2 linked regions of the Rattus norvegicus genome follow. The protein of the gene in region 2 purifies or fractionates together with the protein of the main gene of each other region. This does not show direct contact. Links are inferred from orthologs where the notes say so. Each region holds a gene or a part of one and is shown on either strand. Other genes may lie near its edges.

The links.
Region 1: the proteins of Hnrnph2 (region 2) and Plod1 purify together in Homo sapiens (affinity purification with mass spectrometry; 3 studies listed by BioGRID and IntAct, counting the BioPlex papers as one, with this or other methods). This does not show direct contact. The link is inferred for Rattus norvegicus from reciprocal best matches to the Homo sapiens genes HNRNPH2 and PLOD1.

What each region holds. Positions count from the first base shown.
Region 1 is NC_086023.1:163,643,173-163,654,764, forward strand, and holds the start of Plod1 (procollagen-lysine,2-oxoglutarate 5-dioxygenase 1 precursor), read right to left. Parts: upstream 7,566-11,592; 5' UTR 7,518-7,565; coding exon 7,442-7,517; intron 3,025-7,441; coding exon 2,933-3,024; intron 2,042-2,932; coding exon 1,905-2,041; intron 1,543-1,904; coding exon 1,379-1,542; intron 1-1,378. UniProt on the Homo sapiens protein: Part of a complex composed of PLOD1, P3H3 and P3H4 that catalyzes hydroxylation of lysine residues in collagen alpha chains and is required for normal assembly and cross-linkling of collagen fibrils.
Region 2 is NC_086039.1:102,075,775-102,086,464, forward strand, and holds the end of Hnrnph2 (heterogeneous nuclear ribonucleoprotein H2), read left to right. Parts: exon of another isoform or gene 1-95; 5' UTR 96-140; exon of another isoform or gene 141-2,142; 5' UTR 2,143-2,195; coding exon 2,196-3,545; 3' UTR 3,546-3,672; downstream 3,673-10,690. UniProt on the Homo sapiens protein: This protein is a component of the heterogeneous nuclear ribonucleoprotein (hnRNP) complexes which provide the substrate for the processing events that pre-mRNAs undergo before becoming functional, translatable mRNAs in the cytoplasm. Binds poly(RG).

The sequences.
Region 1 (11,592 bases), on a different chromosome or scaffold from region 2:
CCTGTTTCCCTTTTATACAATCATCTGAGCAGCTTGCATCAGAGAAGGGGAGAGGCTAAAAAACTGTCACCCAGCACTCCAGGGTCTGAGCCCCAGCAGGGAGAGAAAGCCCCAAGGTGCTACTAGAAGCAGGAAGGGAAGAAACAAGACACTTGGCCCCAGGGCTAGCCCCCCTCCTCCCTCCCCCCCACCCCTCCCCCCCCCACCCCCCACCCCCCCTCCCCCCCCCCCCCCCACCCCCACCCCCCCACCCCCACCCCCCACCACCACCACCCCCCCACCCCCCCCCCCCCCCCCGCCAGGCCATGGCAATTGTGTTAGCTCTCTGGGGCTGGTGGGAACAGCTCTCCCTGCTGAGGCAGGGGGAGGCCTGTGGGTTCTACTCTCCGAAAGGACTGAAAAGGGCTGAGGGCCAGGCTCAGTATCAGAAGAGAATGAGTCTAGATGGGAGTGGGTGTAGGTGTGCAAAGGAAGACACAGGGGAATTTAGTTGTTTTTGAGAAAGGGTCTCACATAGCTCTGGCTGGCTTCACCCTTTCCATTTAGCAAAGAATGACCTTATGAACTCTCGCCACCATGTCTCCAATTCTTGGGAACCCAGGGCTTAGTATATGCGGGCAAGCATTCTACCAACTCAGCCACCCGCCCCACCCTGTTTTTCTGCTTTTAATTTCTTTTTTACACATTTGTGTGTGTGAGTGTGTGTAAGTGTATTGTGAGTGTGTGGGTGAGTGTGGGGTGTGTGTATGTGTGGGAGTGCTGGGGGGGTGAGTGTATGTGTGAGTATAGGGGGTGTGTGTTTGTGTGAAGATGAGTGTGTATGAGAGTGAGTGTATATCTGTGGGTATAGGTGAGTGGAGGGATGAGTGTGTTTGTGAGTGTGAGTGCGTGTATATGTGAGTGTGTGTATGTGTGAAAATGACTGCGTATGAGAGTGAGTGTGTATCTGTGCGTATAGGTGAATGGGGAGTGAGTGTGTGTCAGTGTGTGTGTGTGCATGTGGGGGGGGCGAGGGGTTTGTAGGTCAGAGGACAACTTGAGACAGTTGCTTCTCTCCTTCTACCACGTGGGTTCTGAGGATTAAACCCAGATTGTTAGGCTATATGGCAAGAGGCTATGCCCACTGAGAAATTTCATCAGTCCAGTCTTTTGAAATAAGGTCTCACAGAGCCCACTGAGTCACTGGGTTCTAGAGATCTTTGGAAAGCAGAATGAGGTTATCAGGGGTGATTCAGTTTCTCCAGTATAGATAGATGGCCCTTCAACAGAGTGAGGAGGACCCCCCTCAGAGGCTCTCTTTGACACAGAATGCATTTGAAACCTAAGACCCACGGCGAAGTCAGGCACCGGTCCCCACACCCTGTGCAGAACCACTTACCTCCAGAGCCCAAGAATCGTTTGCCATCGGGGACTGTGGGATACTTGGCCTCCAGCCTCCGGTCAGGGTAGATAAGCTCCTCTGCTGAGAAGACCACCCGGCTCTTGGCCTGCTGGAACTTCTTTAAGAGTTCCCGGGGTCCCGAGGCAAACACCACGTCATAGCTGTGGCCAAAGCAAGAAGGTGCTCCAGAGAGAGCACCCACAGGGGGACACAGGGATCAGGACCCCCTCACATCCTATGCCAGCCACCATCTGAGAGACAGATCTGCACACCGCCACATACTGCTGTCTGCCCCATTTCCATGTCATATTAAAACTGGTTCCTCTGTCATCTTCGGCCGCTCACACCTCTTATCTCTTCCCCAACAGGAGTATTGGCTTACATCAGAGAGACATACCCTGGGCTCTTCTGACCTTAGATAAGCTTAGCAAGGGAGCCTCCTGATGTCCAGGAAAGGTCTTACTTGGGACCCCGCCCCTAACACCACTCCGAACTCCCAGGACCCGATTCCCCGCACACCCACCTGTCAACGAAGAGAATAACCAGGTCTTCCTTGTCTGCATACTTTTTCAGTGCCTTCTTCAGCAGCCGAACCTTCTGTCCTCCACCTGCTGCCGATGGTCCCCCGGCCGCGCTCCAGTCCTCCCCCAGGCCCAGTGACTGCAGAGAGAGGCCCCCAGCTTTTGGTGGAGAAATATTCTCCCACCCAGTTTGAGCAGTGGCTATCTTTGCTTCCATACCAGGTGATGCCAGTGGTGGTCATGTGACCGTGCATAAACATTCGCTACATCCACACTCCTTCGGCCCCTCCCACAGCTGGAGCTTTGAGCATATAATCCAAACATGGCCTATCAGAGTCTTCCCTGGGACCATTGTTAAAATTAAGGCAAGGATGTCATGATTGGCTGAGGTTGAAAAGGTTGTGGTATAGGAGTCTACGGTTAGAGTCACCACAATGGAGAGAGCCTGTTTCTGGAGATGGGAAAATAAAGCCCTTTGATGCCTGGGACCCTGGATCTAGCAACGCCTGAAATAACACCCAGCTCTCTATAGGCCATGACTAGGCTGAGTGCGTCTCTGTCCCCAGTGCCCAACACTCAGAATGGCCCACTGAGGTGAGGGCTGACTTCCGGCAGGCAGGTCCCATAACGACATGAAGTCTATGCCCGGCAGACAAGCAGTGTACACACTCCAGAGAATGTATTTAGACCACATCCACTAAGATGTGGGATTGTGGGAGTGCTGGTTCCCAGGCTCTGCCATCTACACTACCACTCCCAGTGAGGCCGGTGCACACTGCCATCCGGGTACCAGTCCGCATCTCTCTAGCCTCCACTCTCCCTCTCGTTCACCTCCTAGAATCTACTCACACTCCGCCCTTCATCCTAATCCAAGCTCACTCTTTGGCCCCTGGGAAGCTGCCTCTTGACATCTAAATCTGTCCCAAGAGCCCTAACTGTGGGAAGGAGATGCCCCAGCCCCTGGACTCCCCCCCCCACACACATATATACATGTCACACACCGTCTCTGCCTTTCCCAGGAAGCCCTCACCTGGATCTTGTAGTTGAAGAACTGGGCTGAGCGCTTGAATCGGCGGAAGCCCTCTGTCTCTTTTGTGGCCACGGTGAGGACCAAAAGGTTGTCTGTGGACAGAGAAGGGGGTGGTGAGGAGAAAGGAGGACATGAGCCTTGAACGGTGGCCTTCATCACACCACTACAGTCAAGGGCTCAGGCTATGCCACGGACCATCTAGTGGGGTAAGGAAAAAAACAGGGATGTAACCCTTGTCTCCCAATTCCCTCCCTCGGCGTCCTTGTATGTAGAAATTGACAAATATGTCAGGCAGCAATGGGGGTAGGGGTGCACCCTGCCTTGTGAAACAAAGTCTCTGGCTTTAGAGGGTGCAGGCATCACGTGGGGTGGAAGGGAGGATACCCTGAGCGCTGACCATGGGAGGATCTCTCTGGCCGGTGCTGGGCATTAGTCTGGGGATGGCAAGTACAGGATTCAGAGGCTGCTTCCTCTCTACGCATGCACCAAGGGTGGACATACTCATCCACTCTGGTCCTTCCCAACCCTGCATAGCTGACTCTCCCAATGCCATGTTTCCAGTTCAGGCTGCCTGAGGTAGAGACCAACTTAAAGTCCACCCATCTGTCCATGTCTGTGGCCAGAGGAGCTCATACCATCTCTCCTCCCTCTCATTTTGAAAATGGTTCTCATGTGACCCAAGCCCATACCCAACTCAACAGGTAGCAAAGCTGTCCTTGCATTTGTCTCTCGGACTTCCTACCTCCACTCCCAAACGCTGAGATTCCAAGAATGCACTACCAACATGTCTGGCTTTGTTACTACCTTCTTAACAAGGGACCTCAGCCAGGTCTGCAGGGCGACTTCACCTCGGCAACAGAACGTGCTAGAAGCAATTGCCAAGACAGCGTCTATGGGAGTCCCCAGCATCCCCTGTAGACCCTATTGTGAGGCTGTGATGCTTGAGAAGGGAGGGTAGGGGCTGGCCTGCCAGCTTAGATCCTAACACTGCCTTACAAACTATGTGACCCAGGGCAAGGCCCTGAAACTCAGTTCTTTATTGTCCTTATTCAGTAAGGACAATAAAGTGCCTGCCTTTCGGGGCTGCTAGACACTTGGCACACAATGAGAGAAATCAGTGGGGTTGACCAGTGAGGGGGATGCCTTGTCCAGTATCCATGGCTCTGTGTGGCTAGAGGGTAGACTCATTTTATGGTTTGTGTATGACTTTTCTTCAGCCTGAGTCTTGCTGATGGCTTCTGTCCTTCTTGCCAAAAATCCCAGGGCCAGTCAGACATACTAGCACCCCTTTCCTTCCTCTGCTATCAACCCCTGTGATTCCCACTCAGATGTTTGCCCATGGAGGTTGAGGGACAGGCCCACTATTCAATGGCTGGTATGGCTCCTCTGAATCCAGAACTCCCATTTATGTAAATGAACAGGACAACACACACACACACATACACACACACACACACACACACACACACACACACACTCAAAAACAAACCAAATAGTAACAATAACAACAAACTAGTCAGGCCAGCAGCAGGCAGGTAAGACCTTTCCCTTCCCACCTCTTGACATCAGGAGTTTGAGCTGAGAGAACAAAGGAAACCAGGTCTCCCAGCTGCTTAGGCAGGAAGTTATCCCCTGCAGCAAGGGATCAGTGCCAGAACTCAAAGCAGGAATTGGCAGGACCCGGTGGGATGGGTTCAGGGGCCTGGGCAGGAGCAGATGATGCCATAAACAGCTGTGGAAGGGGTTGGAGAAATGGCTCAGCAGTTAAGAGCGCTGACTGCTCTTCCAGAGGTCCTGAGTTCAATTCCCAGCAACCCCATGGTGGCTCACAACCATCTGTAATAGGATCTGATGCCTGGTGTGTCTGAAGACAGCGACAGTGTACTCATGTACATAAAATAAATCTTTTAAAAAAAAAGAAAAGAAAACAGCTGTGGAGGGGTAACCTCCCCACTTGGCCCTGGGGGCCCAGAGAAGAAAGCTGCTGCCTCTCACAAGGGAGGAAGGGCTGCCAACGCTTGCCTGAAAAGTTAAGTCTCCCTGCAGGTGAGGAAAACCAGTCCGGTCATCAGCTCTGAGGCCCTCTTGCCAAAAGGGGGCAGGAAGAGCAGCATAGGCCAGCACATGCCTCGGCTGTCCCGGAACTCACTCTGTAGACCATGCTAGCTGGCATCGAACTCACACAGATCCACCTGACAGAGGTGCGCCCAGCCACGTTCACAGCACGCAGCATGGTGGAACAGCTGACTAAAGACAGAACCCTGAGCCACTGGGGTTTCTCCAAGCTCCCCTAGTACAGGTACCTTCTCCAGTCCACTGTCAAGCCCATCAGAGCTCTGGGCCACCCACATAGTGTCAACAGGAGTTATAGGTTGATTGGGATAGCACCCCCACCCCCACCCCACTCACATCCCCCATCCCCGCCCCCAAGGCCTGTTTTGTCTGCTCAACAGCCACGAAAACCAAATGGGCCTGGCACCCTGAAAGCTCAGCCCTCCCCACCTGCTGCCCAAAGTCCGGCGATGATCTCCTCAGATGGACAAACTGTGACCCCAGTCAGCAGAGGTGAAAGAGGGGTGGTAGAGCAAAGCGGTAAGAGCAGACGGCTCAGCAGGGGATTGACCCTCCCCATGCCTCCGTGTCCTCAACTGCACCATAGGAACCGTGGATAAAGGAGCCCTCTCTCAGAGATTAATGTGAAGGCTCAATGAGTATCTTAATTACTGGGTGTCTGTGAGGTGATGCCTCCATTCTTGGCACGGAGGGGTACCCTTCCAAGAGGGGGAGCTGAGTACCCTCAGGCACCGGCTTTCACCTGCCGCTGCTGGGTCAGGATGAAGGACCGTGTCCTCAGTAGTGAGGAGCATCTCTGACCCCCTCCCACTCTGGGCGGAAGCTCTTGTAACTTGGATGGTCTGGGTAGAAGGGCATACACCAGCAGAAGCAGGAGAGCACGTGAGACAGAGAAGAGGTGGCTTACCACAGGGCCCCAGGCTCCCGTCACTGGGTGGACCAGGCTTTTGCACACTTTACCAACCCCGTGGTCGCGTCGGACTTACCAAATAGTCTCTCATCCATCTTCCTTCCACGCCAGATTAGACCCTACAGAAAACTAGCTGCTCTGAGCTGGGAAAGAATGCCCAGAGCCTTGACTTTACGGGGACTCAGGGACCAGCCTCATCTGAGGAATCTCTCGTGATCTCTGGGAATGAGGTATTGCCACCCTGTGTATCGGTCTAGAATACCAAGCTTCTCAAAGACTGTGCATCCCCAATGTAACCAGTGGAAGGTGTGTGATCCTGTGTCTAATAGCATGGATGCAGCAGGCATTCGAAAACCAGTGGTTCCCAGCACATGGGTCTCAAAGCCTTGGGGTTTTTTGGTTTTTGTTTTTTGTTTTTTTTTTTTGGGGGGGGGGTTGTTTGATTTTGGTTTTGGCCAGGGTCTCATGTAGCCTAGACTGACCTCAACCCTTTGTGTAGTAGAGGATGACTTTAACGTCTGATAATCCTGCTCCAACCTTCCTCAGTACTGGGGTTATAAGCACGCACAGCCATGTTTTACTTTATGCAGTGCTGGGAACCAAACCCTGGGCTGCATGCAAGCTAGGCAAGCGCTCTTACCCACAGGGCTCACCCACCAGAGTCCGCCACTCTCCTACCACCCACCACGACTAGGCCAGCTCCCAGGTCTCCAGGAGGATGGGCAGAAGGAAACAGGATGCCCTAGAGAATGTGGCTGGTTTGGTTTTGCCTGTCTGGGTGGTCCACAGTCTGTTCTCCTGGGATGGGGTGGGGTCTCAGACAGCAGGACTGGGGGTGGTCTAGTCCAGCATGGGCTGGGGGGACAGGATAGTGGGGCAGTCGGGACACAGTTCAGAATCCAGTAGCCCTTGGAGAAGCAGAATGAGCACTGGCTGCGAGTTCAAGCGACCTGGGACCAACCACTCCCGGCTGCATGCCTCGCTAAGCTCCTTCACTCCAAATCCCCTTACTCTAAAGATAACAAGAACTCAAGGCTGGGCTCCGGAACCAGACACACCCAGAGAGGTAGATAAAGCCATTCCCAATGCCCACAAGCTGTGTGCCCTTCGGGAGAACCAATCAACTCTGGAGCCTCAGTTTGTGAAGCTAGAAAATGGGGTTAAACATAAGATAACACTTACAGCAAACGTGCTTAACTGGTGCTTAACTGGTGAGGCCCGGCTACTGTAGGAGCCTTGCTACTTAATATGGGAACTGTGATTGATCATGGGCTCCTCTGGGAGCCAAATGAGGTTAGGGGGCGCGCGTGGGTGGATGAGGGGTGTACTCCGGCTGTCCTCTCCTCTGCTCGCAGGACAAACCTAGGAATCCCGACCCCATGAGAGGAAGTGATCTATCGGAGTCACCCGCGGGCAAGTGGACAGATGACCAAGACCCAGTTCCCCCCGCCCTTCCAGCCCAGGTCGCCTGGACACCCGGGTCCTCGGCGAGACAGCCTGACACAGCTCCGCCACCGCGCCCTCACCCTCCAGCTTGGCGTCGTCCTTCGCCTGGGCCAGAAGAAGCCAGGCCAGCGAGGCCAGGAGCAGCAGGGACCGCATAGTCGAGTCTTGGAGACGATCCGCCGGCACTGAAACACAAGCTGAACTGGAAACTTCGCGATGGGGCGGGCGAGCGCTGCCACGCACTGGGGCCCGCCCCGGGGGCGGTGCCCCGCACTCCTCCGCCCGCCTCCGGGTAGGGTCTTCCTGCTTAAGCTTGCGGGTCTTCCAGACCTGGGGCAGGTCACTGTGGCCCCTTAGTCCTGTTGCCGGACTGTCCATGCCCCATACACCTCCAAGTGGGCGATGAAGGCGAGGCCTTGATGTCTAGAAAAGGGTGCTTAACACCATGCACAGCGATGATGGGATCTGTAGAGCATTTCAGTGTCTCTTAGAGATTTCATTTTCTTTATGCGTTCCCCAAATTCCAGAGGTGAGCGGTTAAGCCTAGAGTGGACACAGTTGTTGACACCTCTGCAGACGCTGGAACTGTTAGGGAAAAAAAAAAAGAGTCTAGCCCCAGCTCCCAAAAGGGAATCACTTAATTCAACTTTCCGCCCCTTGAAAGGAAATCTGAAAATAGTCAAGGAAATTCTGGCTGCAGAGGTTAATTGTGGGATGGACGGGGGTGTAGATGGATGGGTGGGTAAGTGGATGGATGGATAGATGAATGGATGGATGGATGGATGGATGGATGGGTGGATGGATGGATGGGTAGGTGGGGTGGGTGGACGTGGATGAATAGCAGTTAAATGGATGGAGTGAAATTTTTCAATGCCATTCATTGACACTCAAAGTAAAAGCTGATCAAAGGTTTCTGGGGCAAGAGCTCCTGGTCCAGATGTCAGCCATGTACGTTCGCCTCTGAATAAAATCCGACAAGCCACGGAAGAGAGCTCAGACAGGGACCCTGGAACCTCTTTCCCACAGATTAGACTCTAGGGCAGGGTTGGGGGGGGGCTTGAAGGAATCAGGAAGTTGGGAAGAAGTGGACTTTCACAGAGGAAACACTATCTACAGAATGCTACTCGGGAAAAGCTGTCTCTTCAGTACGAGTCTTTGTCAAAGACAGACTACTCTCAGCCTTGTAGATAGGTAAAATCAGTGCTGGGTGGGGTAGGGTGGGGTGTGCCTAAATCCTAGCACTTGGGAAGTAGAAGAGCTCCATTGCCCAAAGCCGGCCAGAGTTGCACAGCCAGACCCGGTCAGGAAAGAGAGAAGGAAGGGGAGGGTCAGTCAAACTAGAATGCCTGCACTCAGGAGGTGTAGCAGGATCAGGAGTTTGGGACATGCTCAGCCATGCAGCTGGTGACTATATAGCTTGAGGCCAGTGTGGACTGAGTGAGACCCTAACAACACCCATTCACCTCCAACCAAAGAAAGGAAGTCACAGACAAACGTTGGCAAAGATTACTTCCAGGTTGTGGTATAAACCGGTGCATAACTTACACAGCATTTCTAGGTCATATTACTGTGGAGAATTCTTTTCTTATTTCTCTCTCTCTCTCTCTCTCTCTCTCTCTCTCTCTCTCTCTCTTTTGTTAAGAAAGATGTACAATATTTGTATAGTTTTAGAACTTGTGTCCTTTCTCGAAAATGAGAACCGGCTGGAAGACGGGAGTCCGCCTCATTGTGCAGAGGCTCACTCACACTCTCAGACTGTAGGGGGCCCAGGGCTCTCCAGCAGCAAGCTCGAAGTCACAAGACAAACCAGAGGAAGAGACCTCAGCAGAATGCAGAACATTGGCTTCCCAGCTGGGACTTAGGGCCAGGAGCTGCTGCAGCTGGAGACAGGACTTGGTGCCAAAGATCCACCAGCGTCTACCGGGTGTTTTAGACTCAGAAGGCCGAGGACTGAGATTTCCAAACCCCCAAAGGAGGAAATGCAAGTGTAAATGGGGGGTGGGGGGGGGAGAAGCAGCCAGCCTGTGTTGGCTGGCTCAGTTTTCAAAGCTCTTCTTCATGCTTGTAACTGTTTGCAAAAGGAGAAACTAAGGCTCGGAGAAGCATTATCTGCTTGGCATCACACACGTGACGTGGGGCCGCAGTAAGGAAGCATCAGACAGCTCCCAGCTAGAACTGCCTTTTTGCCAGAGTCCACGGAGACCCTCACCAGTGATATACCCCAGATAGAAGACATTCCTGGGCAGTCATCAGAGTCTAAATTAAAAGAGGGATGGGCTCTAGAAACTGCCTGAACCTTCAAGAGGAAGGGTTCACTCTTGTAAAGCCCGACTTTACACGCTTCTGGTATCTGTTTCCTGTTTGGTTCATCGAATTGCTAGAACTTGAACACCGTCCAAGATTCGTGTACGGCGGCCTGTTTCTTTAAGCAGGGGTGGTGGCTGCTGTCCAGATGTTGCTTCTCGAATTTCTAGTACGTGCTCCACGTGCTTTGGACTGTTAAAGGCGCAGGACTCCACTTTGCGCAGACGCCGGAGAGGCTTCCTCTTGTCATCCACTAAAAAGAGAGGCTGGAGAGATGGTTGGGCAGTTAAGAGACTGGCAGCACCACTTCCAGGGATCCCGCACCATCTTCTGACTTAGACATACAATATGCACATGGAGTTGTCTGTTCTCTCATTCCACCATGTAGGTCCTAGGTACAGAAGTCATCACACTTCCTGGCGAATGAATGCCTTTACCTACTGAGCCATCTTGCCATTAGATTTTTATTTTAATTTTGAGGTTCTGGGAAATCGCTTGTGCTCTGTTCTGAGCTAAAACTCTGCCAAAGGGGGGAGGGGAGTGTGATTTTTTTTTAAAGATTTATTCATTTATTATGTATAAGTACACTGGCTTCAGACACACCAGAAGAGGGCATCAGATCCCATTACAGATGGTTGTGAGCCACCATGTGGTTGCTGGGAATTGAACTCAGGACCTCTGGAAGACTAGTCGGGTGCTTTTTTTTTTTTTTTTTTTTTTTTTTTTTTTTTGGTTCTTTTTTTCGGAGCTGGGGACCGAACCCAGGGCCTTGCGCTTCCTAGGTAAGCGCTCTACCACTGAGCTAAATCCCCAGCCCCTCGGGTGCTCTTAACCGCTGAGCCATCTCTCCAGCCCGTGATTGTTTTGTTGTTTACTTTGAGATAAAGTCTCACTGTGTAGACAGGCCAGCCTTGAACTCACTAAAATCCATCTACCTCTGCCTCTTCAAAGAATCAGATTAAAGACATGTACACAATACCTGGCTAAAAATGTGCTATTGAGCTTTGGGGCATTTGTTTGTTTGTTTTTTTTCTTTGTTTAGTTTAGTTTTTCAAGACAGGGTTTCTCTGTGTAGCCCTGGTTGTCCTGGAACTCTGTAGACCAGACTGGCCTCCAACTCCGAGATCCACCTGCCCCTGTCTCTTAAGTGCTCGGACTAGAGGCATGTGCCACCACTGCCGGGCTCTTAGCATGGATTCTTGTGTGAAAATAAAAACGGGTAAAAGCTGGACATGTGCCTTTAATTCTAGCGACTGGGAATGCTGAGAAAGAATCTTTGGGGCCTAGGAATTGTTTGAAGTCCAGTCTGGACAATACAAGAGAGATCCTGTCTCAAAGATGAACAAAAAAATAAAGTAAAAGCAAAACAGGATGAGCATTCTTCCAATGCGACGCGGGCTCACAACTTCAGCAAACAACTTTCTGTCTGCTTACAGCCCACTAGAAACCACCTCAAGTGACCGTTTAATTGTCAACTGTGAATTTGCAACAGCCCATCTAGCTCTGGATTGCTCAGACTCCAAAATGGGAAACAATCGCCCGTTGTCTGCCTAGAATCCAAAGTGGAAACAACCACCCACTGTCTGCTCCAGGGCTCCAGTCGATTCCCAGGCCGCGCCGCCCCTCCCCCCCATATGGATGCTGTAGGTCATGTCAAAGTATGAGAAAAGTATGTTTCGTGTTATTGAATGAGTTAAAACTGTTATTGAATGAGTTAAAGATGGACCTTAAGAAAACTACTTGGTGTGTTTAAGAAACAGGCATTCCTGAGCTGGATTTATGTCCCACTCTGGTGTACTCAACAGCCAGGCAGGTTTGAAACGCTGCCGACAAAATATTTCCTTAGGACATCGTTTTTCAGTGGCTACCCTTCCTCCTCCTCTTCCTTCCCTCTACACTTCATTCCTCCCTGTCTCCTTTCCTTCTT
Region 2 (10,690 bases):
ATGTAACTTAATATTAAATGTATAATGTTCTACTTTTCTTCATTAAATGCCTTTCAAGTACTACATAGTTCAATAAGTCCTGCTCTTAATTTCAGATAATTCCTTAAGGCACATACCTGAAGTGGATTTTCTGTCAGAAGGTGTGGTAAATATTACCAACATGCTTTTCCACAATCGTACAGTTTTTATCTCTTTTGGTGAACTTTAGATTGTGAACTGTCTGTAATGTTGATGTATTGTCACAGTTGAATTTCCACTATTTTTGATTGGTGTAAAAATGTTGATTTTACTTTCAATTTCATTTTGAATGAAGTTTGAGTGTGTCCCAGACTTTTTCCCTATACACTCCTTTCACTTCTGCATTTAAATTTGGTTTTGGTCATAATCACATCATTACGCCTCTCCTTGTCCCTCCCTCCAAACCTTCCCACGCTTCAACACCTTGCTCTCTTTCCAATTCTTGGCCTTTTTCTCAGTTGTTACATACGTGTGTATATTCCTAAATCATAAATACCACCTGCTCAGCTTATTGTGTGCATGCTGCGAGGATTGACCCTTTGCTACTAGATAACCAATTGGTGTGCGTGGCTTTGGGGAAGACAGCATTCCCCATTATCAGCATTCCCCATTATCAGCATTCCTTAGTTGCTGCAGTCCTATATCCTCCTTTGTTGTGAATTGTTCTGTTCGTGGGTAGGGTCTCAACTATTCATTCCTGGCTGACCTGGAACTCCCTCTGTCAAGCAAGCTGGCCTCAAACTCAGACCTGCCTGTCTCTGCTTCCAGAGTGCTGGGATTAAAGGCACATGCCAGCCCACCCATCTCAATAAGTCACTTTTTAAAAAGATTATTTATTTATTTAAGTGTTCTCTTTGCATGTATGCCTTCTGCATGACAGAGAGGGCATCAGACAGAACAGAGCATTGGATCCCATTAATAAATGATCATGAACCACCATATGGTTGATGGGAATTGAACTCAGGACCTCTGGAAGAGCAGCCAGTGCTCTTTAGCAAGCTCCTCAATAGGTCATTTTAAGAGTTTGCTCGTAGTACCCCTTTCCTTCTGTTTGAATGCTCCATTTGCCTGGGTGATAGGTCTGAAACAGCTGCAATGACATGTTTAAAATCCATAGGTGATACATATATATGTATATCTATCCTCCCTTCTGTACACCCAGAGCCATAATGTACCATAATGTCTTAAGGTTTGGGGGAGGTACATGTCACATAGTACTATGAATACTGAATCCTGAATTGTGCTTATGAACCAAACAAGAGTCTAGGGTATGTATAGAACCCTCAGGATCCCATCTCTTTCGTTATAGTCTTGTCTTTGGAGTTTTGTACCCTTTCATTTTGTGTCCCATTAGAGTTTTTATAGATCCTAGATCTGAGTCCTGGAACAGAATCAGGATAGTTTGTTTCCATTCACCCTTCTGTCTCCAGTTGATACACTTCATCAGCCAGTCCTTCTGTGTATTTGCCTTCTATGTAGTCTGTATTTGCACTTACCTTTGGGGCAACACACAGTTCTCCTTCTCCAGACTTAATTGGTTCTTCCATGGCAGAACTGAGTACTGGATGTGGCCCCTAAAACATGTTTGAATGTATAAATACCCATTAAGCCTTTTCCATTTATCTTTTAGGCTTTAATAGTTCTGTATTTTATTGACTTGCATTCATTGTTTATATTCTTAGGCTATGGATGGATTTGTTGTATCATCTCATGAGTATTGTCTTTTGATTTAAAGAATATTTTCATTTTTATATATAATGGAATGTAGTTACACTTTGTTATATTTAGTTCTAATTTTCTCTGTGTGATGTTAATATATTGGCTCAGTGCAGAAAATTTAGAATATTTGAAATTATCTAAAGGAAAAAAGTATCCATGGAAACAAAAAATTCCTATAATACTGTTAACCAGAAATAACCACCATAAATTAATTATACCTGATACATAATAGAAATGAAATAAGTACCCTCGAAGTGAATGAATTAAAAGTTTTATGCAGTCTTTGTTCATATAGCTCCTTTGAAAATCTTACTGATAAGAACTTGTAAAATAATAGTTTTCTTTGTTTCTCTTACTCTATTGTATACACTTTTTCATGACAATAGTTTTCTAATTTTTTTAAAGCCACATTGAAATTGCATTGAGCCAAGCTTGCCACCAAGAGTCCATCAGTCACCATGATGCTGAGCACAGAGGGCAGGGAGGGGTTCGTGGTGAAGGTCAGGGGCCTACCCTGGTCCTGCTCAGCCGAGGAAGTGATGCGCTTCTTTTCTGATTGCAAAATCCAAAATGGCACATCAGGTGTTCGTTTCATCTACACCAGAGAAGGCAGACCGAGTGGTGAAGCATTTGTCGAACTCGAATCTGAAGATGAAGTGAAATTGGCTTTAAAGAAAGACAGAGAAACCATGGGACACAGATATGTTGAAGTATTCAAATCCAACAGTGTTGAAATGGATTGGGTGTTAAAGCATACAGGTCCAAATAGTCCTGATACTGCCAATGATGGGTTTGTACGGCTCAGAGGACTCCCATTTGGCTGTAGCAAGGAAGAAATTGTTCAGTTCTTTTCAGGGTTGGAAATTGTGCCAAATGGGATGACACTGCCAGTGGACTTTCAGGGGCGGAGCACAGGGGAAGCTTTTGTGCAGTTTGCTTCACAGGAGATAGCTGAAAAGGCCTTAAAGAAACACAAGGAAAGAATAGGGCATAGGTACATCGAGATCTTCAAGAGTAGCAGAGCTGAAGTCCGAACCCACTATGATCCCCCTCGAAAGCTCATGACTATGCAGCGCCCGGGTCCTTATGATAGGCCAGGGGCTGGGAGAGGGTATAATAGCATTGGCAGAGGAGCTGGGTTTGAAAGAATGAGGCGGGGTGCCTATGGTGGAGGGTACGGAGGCTATGATGACTACGGAGGTTATAATGACGGGTATGGTTTTGGGTCTGATAGATTTGGAAGAGACCTAAACTACTGTTTCTCAGGAATGTCTGATCATCGATATGGAGATGGTGGGTCCAGTTTCCAGAGCACCACAGGGCACTGTGTACACATGAGGGGGTTACCATACAGAGCCACTGAGAATGATATTTACAATTTTTTCTCACCTCTTAATCCCATGAGAGTACACATTGAAATCGGACCTGATGGCAGAGTCACGGGTGAGGCAGACGTTGAGTTTGCTACTCATGAAGACGCTGTGGCAGCTATGGCAAAAGATAAAGCAAATATGCAGCACAGATATGTGGAGCTCTTCCTGAATTCTACCGCAGGGACGAGTGGAGGAGCTTATGATCATAGCTATGTAGAGCTCTTTTTGAATTCTACAGCAGGGGCAAGCGGTGGTGCTTATGGCAGCCAGATGATGGGAGGGATGGGTTTATCCAACCAGTCTAGTTATGGAGGTCCAGCCAGCCAGCAGCTGAGTGCTGGCTACGGAGGTGGTTATGGTGGTCAGAGCAGTATGAGCGGATATGACCAAGTTCTTCAGGAAAACTCAAGTGACTATCAGTCAAACCTTGCTTAGGAAGAGAGGAAGCATCAAAGAGCATCTACAGGAATAAAAAGTACATTATAGGAACTGGATAGAGTAGGGAGGATGTCCAGCATATCCAGTATGATTGGTAAATGGGAAATACAATTGCTTCTGATCACTATTGGTCAGCTTCTTTCTTTCTTCTTTCTCCTTTTTTTTAAAGAGAACAAAATTTAAGTTTAACAGTTTCGCATTACAAGCTTGTGATTCATGCTTACTGTAAAGTGAAAGTTACGATTGTTTTCAAACTTTAAGCTCAGCAATTTTGAACACTGAAAATATTCATCTAGGATGTAATAACAAGTTCAGTATTGACCATAACTGTCAATTCCACTTTCAGCTTTCCTCAAGTTAGTTATGTTGTAGGAGTGTACTTAAGCAGTAAGCATCTTTAGGTTTAAAGCAGTTTCACTTACGTTAAATGTTGCTCTTATACCACAATACATCGAAAACTTCAGATGCATGTTGAGAAACATGCTTTTCTGTAAAAAATATAGGAGCTGTGTCTGATTCAAAGTGACATTTGGCATGTTTGTTAATTCTAGCTTTTTGGTTTAATATCCTGTAAGGCACGTGAGTGTACACTTTCACCTTTTTTTTTTTTTTTTTTTTAAAGATCCGGGACAATTTTGAGATGTGATACCAATACATTAGGAGTTTGGTCATGTTATTTGTATGGAATTCTGGGGCTTTGATTTAAATCTTACCTTGTATTGTGAATTCCATTTAGATGTATTGTACTAAGTGAAACTTGTTAAATAAATCTTCCTTTTAAAAACTGGAAAAATCTTGCATAGTTTGATTTTTTTTTAAATCATGTTCTATTATATGGGCACACAGTAACTGGCTTTTAAAATTGTCTGCTATTGAAATTTTCTTTTCTCAAATATTCCAGGATGAATGGTTCAAGTTTTGATCCTCCTGCCTCTGCCTCCTGAGTATTGGAATTGCAGTCATACATCACTGTCCAGTTTATGCGGTGCTGGGGAATAACCCAGGGCTGCTTGCATACATGACAGGAACTCTACCAACAAGGCTATAGTTATAGCCTAAATTTTGGTTTGTGTGTTTGAGTGTTGGTAGAGGGCAGAGAAGAAGATTGGATATCCTTTTCTAAATACCCTGCCTATAGTCTAGGTGACAGGGTCTTTCACTGAGTCTAGAGCTAGGCTGGCAGCCAGGAAGTCCCAGTGATCTGCCACTGCTGTGTACAGCACTGGGGTTATAGTCACTGCTCTTGCTGGGTCATACTTTGTGAATGACCATAGCTGCTGGCCTTTTTCATGGCTGCTGGAGTTGTGAACGCAGCTTGCTCAGCTAGCACTCATTTATTTTTGATTCTATGTAGTTCCAGGTGTCCTAGAAAACTAGACCAGGCTGGCCTCGAACTCACAGAGATCCACCTGCTTCATCTTCCTAAATGCTGGGTTTAAAAGTGTGCGTGTGCATACCATGCCTGCTCCCCCTCCCCCCAATCTCTCCTTCCTTTCCTTCCTTCCTTCCTTTGGCTGGCCTTGGACTCACAAAGATCCACCTGCCTCTGTCTCCTCAGTGCTGGGATTAAGAGTACTGGGATTGGGACTGAAGAGATGGCTCAACAATTAAGAATACTGACTGCTGGGTTGGGGATTTAGCTCAGTGGTAGAGCGCTTGCTCCAAAAAAAAAAAAAAAAAGAATACTGACTGCCCTTCCGGAGGTCCTGGGTTCAATTCCCAGCAACCACATGGTGATTCACATCTGTAATGAGATCTGATGCCCTCTTCTGGTATGTCTGAAGACAGCTACAGTGTACTCATAGAATAAACATTTTTAAAGGACCGGGATTAGGGCTGGAGAGATGGCTCAGCGTTCAAGAGCACTGGCTGCTTGCCAGAGGATCCATGTTCAAATCCCAGCACCCACATAGCAACTCACAACTGTAACTCTAGTTCTAGGTGATCTAGCACCCTCAGACAGACATGAATGCAGATAAAACACCAAGATAGAAGAGTGCTGGGATTAAAGACATGTTTTGCCACCGCCTGGCCACAGAAAGCACTCTTACCCATTAAGATGCCTCTCCGTCCCTGCAATGTTTACTTAGTTAGAGACAGGGTTTCTCTGTGTAGCCCTGACTGTCCTGGAGTCTGTAGAACAAGTTGGCTTCAAACTCAACAATCTTCCTACCTCTGCCTCCGAAGAGCTGGGATTAAAGGTGTGTACCACCGCTGTATTTCTTAAAGGTTTTTTTAAACTAGAATTCCTGGAGACTTTGTGCTTTATCAAGACAACATTCCCAAAGTCCAAAGAAGTAGAAAGCAAGTGACTGCTTTCATTTGACCATGAATATGCTATGCCTCAGATGGAAAATAAAGCAGGCTATAGAAAAATCCTATTCTACACAAATTATTTGATAACACCTTTAAGTGCCTTTTATTTTTAGGGTTTTCAGACCTCTAAAGCTTAGTTGTGCTAAGAGTACTTGCGACCACATTTTGAAAACAGCTTAGGATTCTCTCACTCCTAAAGGTTTAACCCTGAAAGGAACTTAAGAAATAGTTGCATTTATGATCACGTGTTCTCTCCTTATTCATGGCAAGTAGCTCGACATTTCTGACATGCAAGCCATAGCTGATTGTTTACCATACCTTGCACCTCCCACGAGTATTCTGAGCACCTGCAGCACTTGTCTTGCGGTACCTTGCATGTCTGTATCCTGGTGGTTAGCAGTTTCACCTCTCATTGACCTGCAGTCCTGGACACCTCAGACCAGTAAAGGCTGCACACTAACTCTGTATTTCTGGATATATGACTGCTCAGGAACTGGACAGTTGTCTTTGAGCTGTCTATGCTCTGCATTTGTAGAGATACCCTGTGATGTAGGGTGCAGGTACCAGCTTCATATTAATTTGTACAGGATACTTTATTAAGTATGGTTTCTGGAAATTTAAAAGAATGGTACTGAGATTTGAGACTCACTGATGGTTTCTACTTAATATTTTTGGTTGGTTGGTTGATTTTTAAGTTGTTTGTAATTTCAAATACAGTTGGCAGGAGAGCAGGCAATCCGGTTTGACTTTTATGTCGTTGCACCTGTCACTATCTTTTTTTCCTAAGCACATTTTAGAACCCTTTCTCAGAGAAGTAAATTCAAGGTGGTGGTTTCTCCGTGCTGAGGAATTTTTCTAGAAGTTTCTCGAAGTATAAATGAAAAAGCTCCAGTTAGCCACTAGATGTCACCAAGTTCCCAAAAAGGAGAGCTGACTCCTGCGATGCTAGAAAGCCCTTTGCTACATTAAAATGGGGCCAGCAACACGGCTTTTGCAGATAAAGGTGCTCCCTGCCTGCCGTGCCTCTCAGTGTTTGATCCCTGGGGACCCACACCAAAGAGACCTATGCTGAGAGAATGAAACTCAGCAAGCTGTCCTCTCACCAGCTTCCTCTCATGTGGTATGTCCCCCACCCCTCAAAAAATAGTAAGAAACTCAGGCTCTGGGGAAGAGTGAAAGGAAAGAGTCTGGAGGACATATGTGCTCAGTCCTAGAGGTGGCAGAAGGACAATAGTACCAACACTGATCCCTGATCCCCGTATACTATACTTGTCTACAGGCACCCCCACTCCACCCTACCGCACACACTGCTAGTGACCCAGCATAAAAATTACCCAGGGAAGTATTATAGGAGGTAAACTGGATGTTCCGCTCTCCTGAGTCAAGCTACTTGGCAAGAGCAGCATACAGTTGTACGGTACAGTAATCATGGCCTAAAATTGTTCCCACAATAACTTGTGTCAGTGTTCCGGTGTGGTTTGTGGAGCAGCAGCAGTACAACCTCAGGCTTCCTTAAGAATGTGGCTTTTCAGAATTGGAACGATTGAGAAACTCAGGGTGAATCCCAACAAGCTGTGTTTTAATAAGTATGTAATGTGCTCTGCTAATGTGCTTATTTATGTGTGGGTTCTGTAAGCCACTGATCCATTCACTCATTCCGGACTTAATTCATCTGACCCTAAAATGGGTAACCAAATAGAATCATATCTAGAACCACAGAAGACTGTTGACTCATCCCCTAGCAAAGTAGTAAGAAAATGTGATGTCAAATTCATTTGTAAATCAAATACCTATCCGAGTGTACATATGCACACCAGAAGAGGGCATCAGATCCCATTTCAGGTAGCTGTGAGTCACCATGGGATTGCTGGGATTTGAACTCAGGATCTTAACTGCTCTTAACTGCTGAGCCCCAAGAAGATTTTTTAATGCTATTAGTAAAAATGATAGCAATTTTTTCCAAAATGGGCCATAAGGGCGATTGCCACACAACTGGTGATAAAGTGGAATTCCATTGGTTTGCCCAGTACCAGGCTGAGTGTCATGAGAGCTCTTTTGTAACCTGTTCCCACACTGACTGCAATTCAGTCTTGTGAATGGTATCCCCTTTCTTTCCTCCCTTCCTTTTCTGCACGTTAAAATAAAATTATTTTGTGTATATAGGTGGGGAGTTGCCTGGATGTTTATCTGTGGACCACTTGGGTATGTGGGAGTAGTGGAGAGGAGAGGAAACTGGAATGGACCATCCTGTGGATGCTGGGAACAGAACCTGGGCCCCCTAGGAGAGGTGTCAGTGTCCTTAACTGACAGTCTGCTTTCTCCAGCCCCAACCTAAGCTGGAGGACAGTTTTATTAGAGTCTAAAAGAAAACTCCCAGGGTAGCAAGCTGTAAATCTTGGGAGCTGCCAGAAGTGGGAAGGAAGATGGCGGGGAGAGGAAGTCATCCAGTTCGGGTTAGAGAAAGAGTGAAGCCCAGTTTCTTAGGGAAAGCATGCTTAGAAAGGAGATAGAAGAAAAGGACGTTTTACACTTTTTCTGAAAAGCCAGCCAGCTCACTGGTGCTCCATTAACTGAGTGTCCCATTTATCTTTTCCTAATGCTCTGTTTGGCCAATCTGTTAAGATATCCAGCTGTTTGCTTCTGGTTTTCTTTCTTTTATTCGTTTGTTTAGAGGTTGAGGGAGTCTGGGGATTGAACCTGGGACCTTGCCTACGAAGACAAAACCACTGAGATACATACCTAACCCTTTTGAAATAGTCTGATTGAATATTGCCAGTAACCATTTTCCAAGATCCTCTTTACCCTCTTGCTGCTACCCTTTGTGCTTGATCTGTTTCTCATATAAGGGGTGCTATTAGGTTTCATTGCCACCCCCACTTTAGAGATGGGGAAACTGAGTCTCAGGGACTCAACCATCTTGGGGAAAGAAAGTTGTGCTGGAGGAAAGCAGGAAATAATGTGGGTGGGGGAGTGAAGAACATGTCTGGGTTCCACGTGGGATGGTGTAGCGGCTCCTGGGAACTTGTGGGTGAGGATATCTCTGAGCAACGCAGGAACCACTCTCAGCTTTCCCAGCCCTCTCTCTCTCACTAGGGAGCTCACAGTAAGCAGGGGGGTGGGGGCCTGGGATAGGGAGGGTCGAGAGAATTTGGCCGTAATCCATTTCTTCCTCTCTTTCCAGATGGCTGGAGGCCCTTAAACAATCCACAGCCCCGCCCCCCCCCCCCCGGTCCCCCAGCACATTCCACTGCAAGGACCGGAGTTGGGAAAAGGCTGCCCGGAAATGGCGGCTAAAGCCTGGTGGGGGCTGGTACCGGGTCACTGAAGCAAATGGGGGAGTGGTCAAGACTGATGAGTGGCAGATGGTGGTGAGGCAAGGGAGCCCTGGAAGGTGTCTGCAGAGCGGAGAGAGGGATAAATACCACCTTTGTTAGCTATTGCTAAGCATCTGGAAAAACCCAGGCTTTCTATCTCTCCGGCCTTCTCAGACCCCTCCCCCTCCCCCAAGCAAGGCGGGAAAGCAGGCCAAAATGCAGCATAACCCAAGACAGGGAAGTCTGGAGAGCCACCCTCCCTACTAACTGCCACTGTGTGATCATCCCCATCTCCCATCCCCTCCTCCTGGGTTATCGGAGGCTCATTGGTTCCCTGGTCTGCCCCTTCAAGCAGGGACTCCCTGCACCCAGGGCAGCTCCAGAGAGTCGGTGGGAAGGGACACTGCAGCTACCTCCTCTAGAAGGTGTCACATTACCCTACGGAGCGCTCCTGTCTTGGCATGCAGGAAGCGGCAGAATACAAGTTTATTTTTCAGTTGAGTGTTGATCCAACGTTTATGGCTTGTGATTAATCTTTTTCCTTCTGTTCTTGAATCTCCTATCGATGGTGAGATCAAGGACAAACAGCTCACCAACTGTCACAACACCATATTGGAACTTTGAAGCATTCTGAAAACATGCTGGTTGTTTTTCTTTTTCTACCCATTGCACGTTCTTTTTCTCCTTTTAGATTTTTTCTTTCCTATGTAGCAAAATTCTTAAAAGCATATTTTACCACTCCCATCCACCCTCCCCTCCTTAGTTCACACTTACTTGTTCCCATTTTGCTTTGCTTTGTCTGAACTCAACATGACCTTAAACATGCAATCTCCTGCCTCCCGCTTCCAAATGCTGAAGTTCCAGGCCTGTGCTACCTTGCAGAGGTAGTCTAAACAGATTTCTGTGCTCTAAATCTTTCTGCACAAATAAGCTGAGCACTTTCTACTTGTCATTTTCGACCTATTTGACGTGTGTTCTTTAAAATTTTCCTGTTAAGCTGTACTCCTCCCCCTTTTGGTGGTGTGGGGGCTGGCACCTAGGGCTTTGCACAATCTAGGCATGTAGGGTTGTTGCTTTTGTGTGTGAGTGTGTGTGTGTCCGTGCATGTGTGTGTACATGTGTGCCTGAGTGTGTGTGTGTATGTGAGTGCGTGTGTATGTTTTATCATTAGATTGGCCATTAATCAGTAAATGTGATGACTTCCAAGAACTGCCTGTTGGTTAGAGGCTGAGGAATAGTTTAGAGGTAATAGGAATGCCCTAAAACGTACATTGTAGTGATGGTCTGAACAACACTGTAAGTTTACAAAGGACTGTTTCAGTAAGAATTTTTCGTTCCTTCATCAAATAGTCTCCCAGCCAGTGACACCCTCGCTCAGCTCCTTGGCTGTAAATCTATGCTATTGTTATATTTGGAATCGAGTTGTTCTATATTGAAATCCCTTTTCCTTTATTATAGGGGTTTGTACTAAAAAACCTATCTAGGGGGTGGAGAGATCGCTAAGAGACCAAG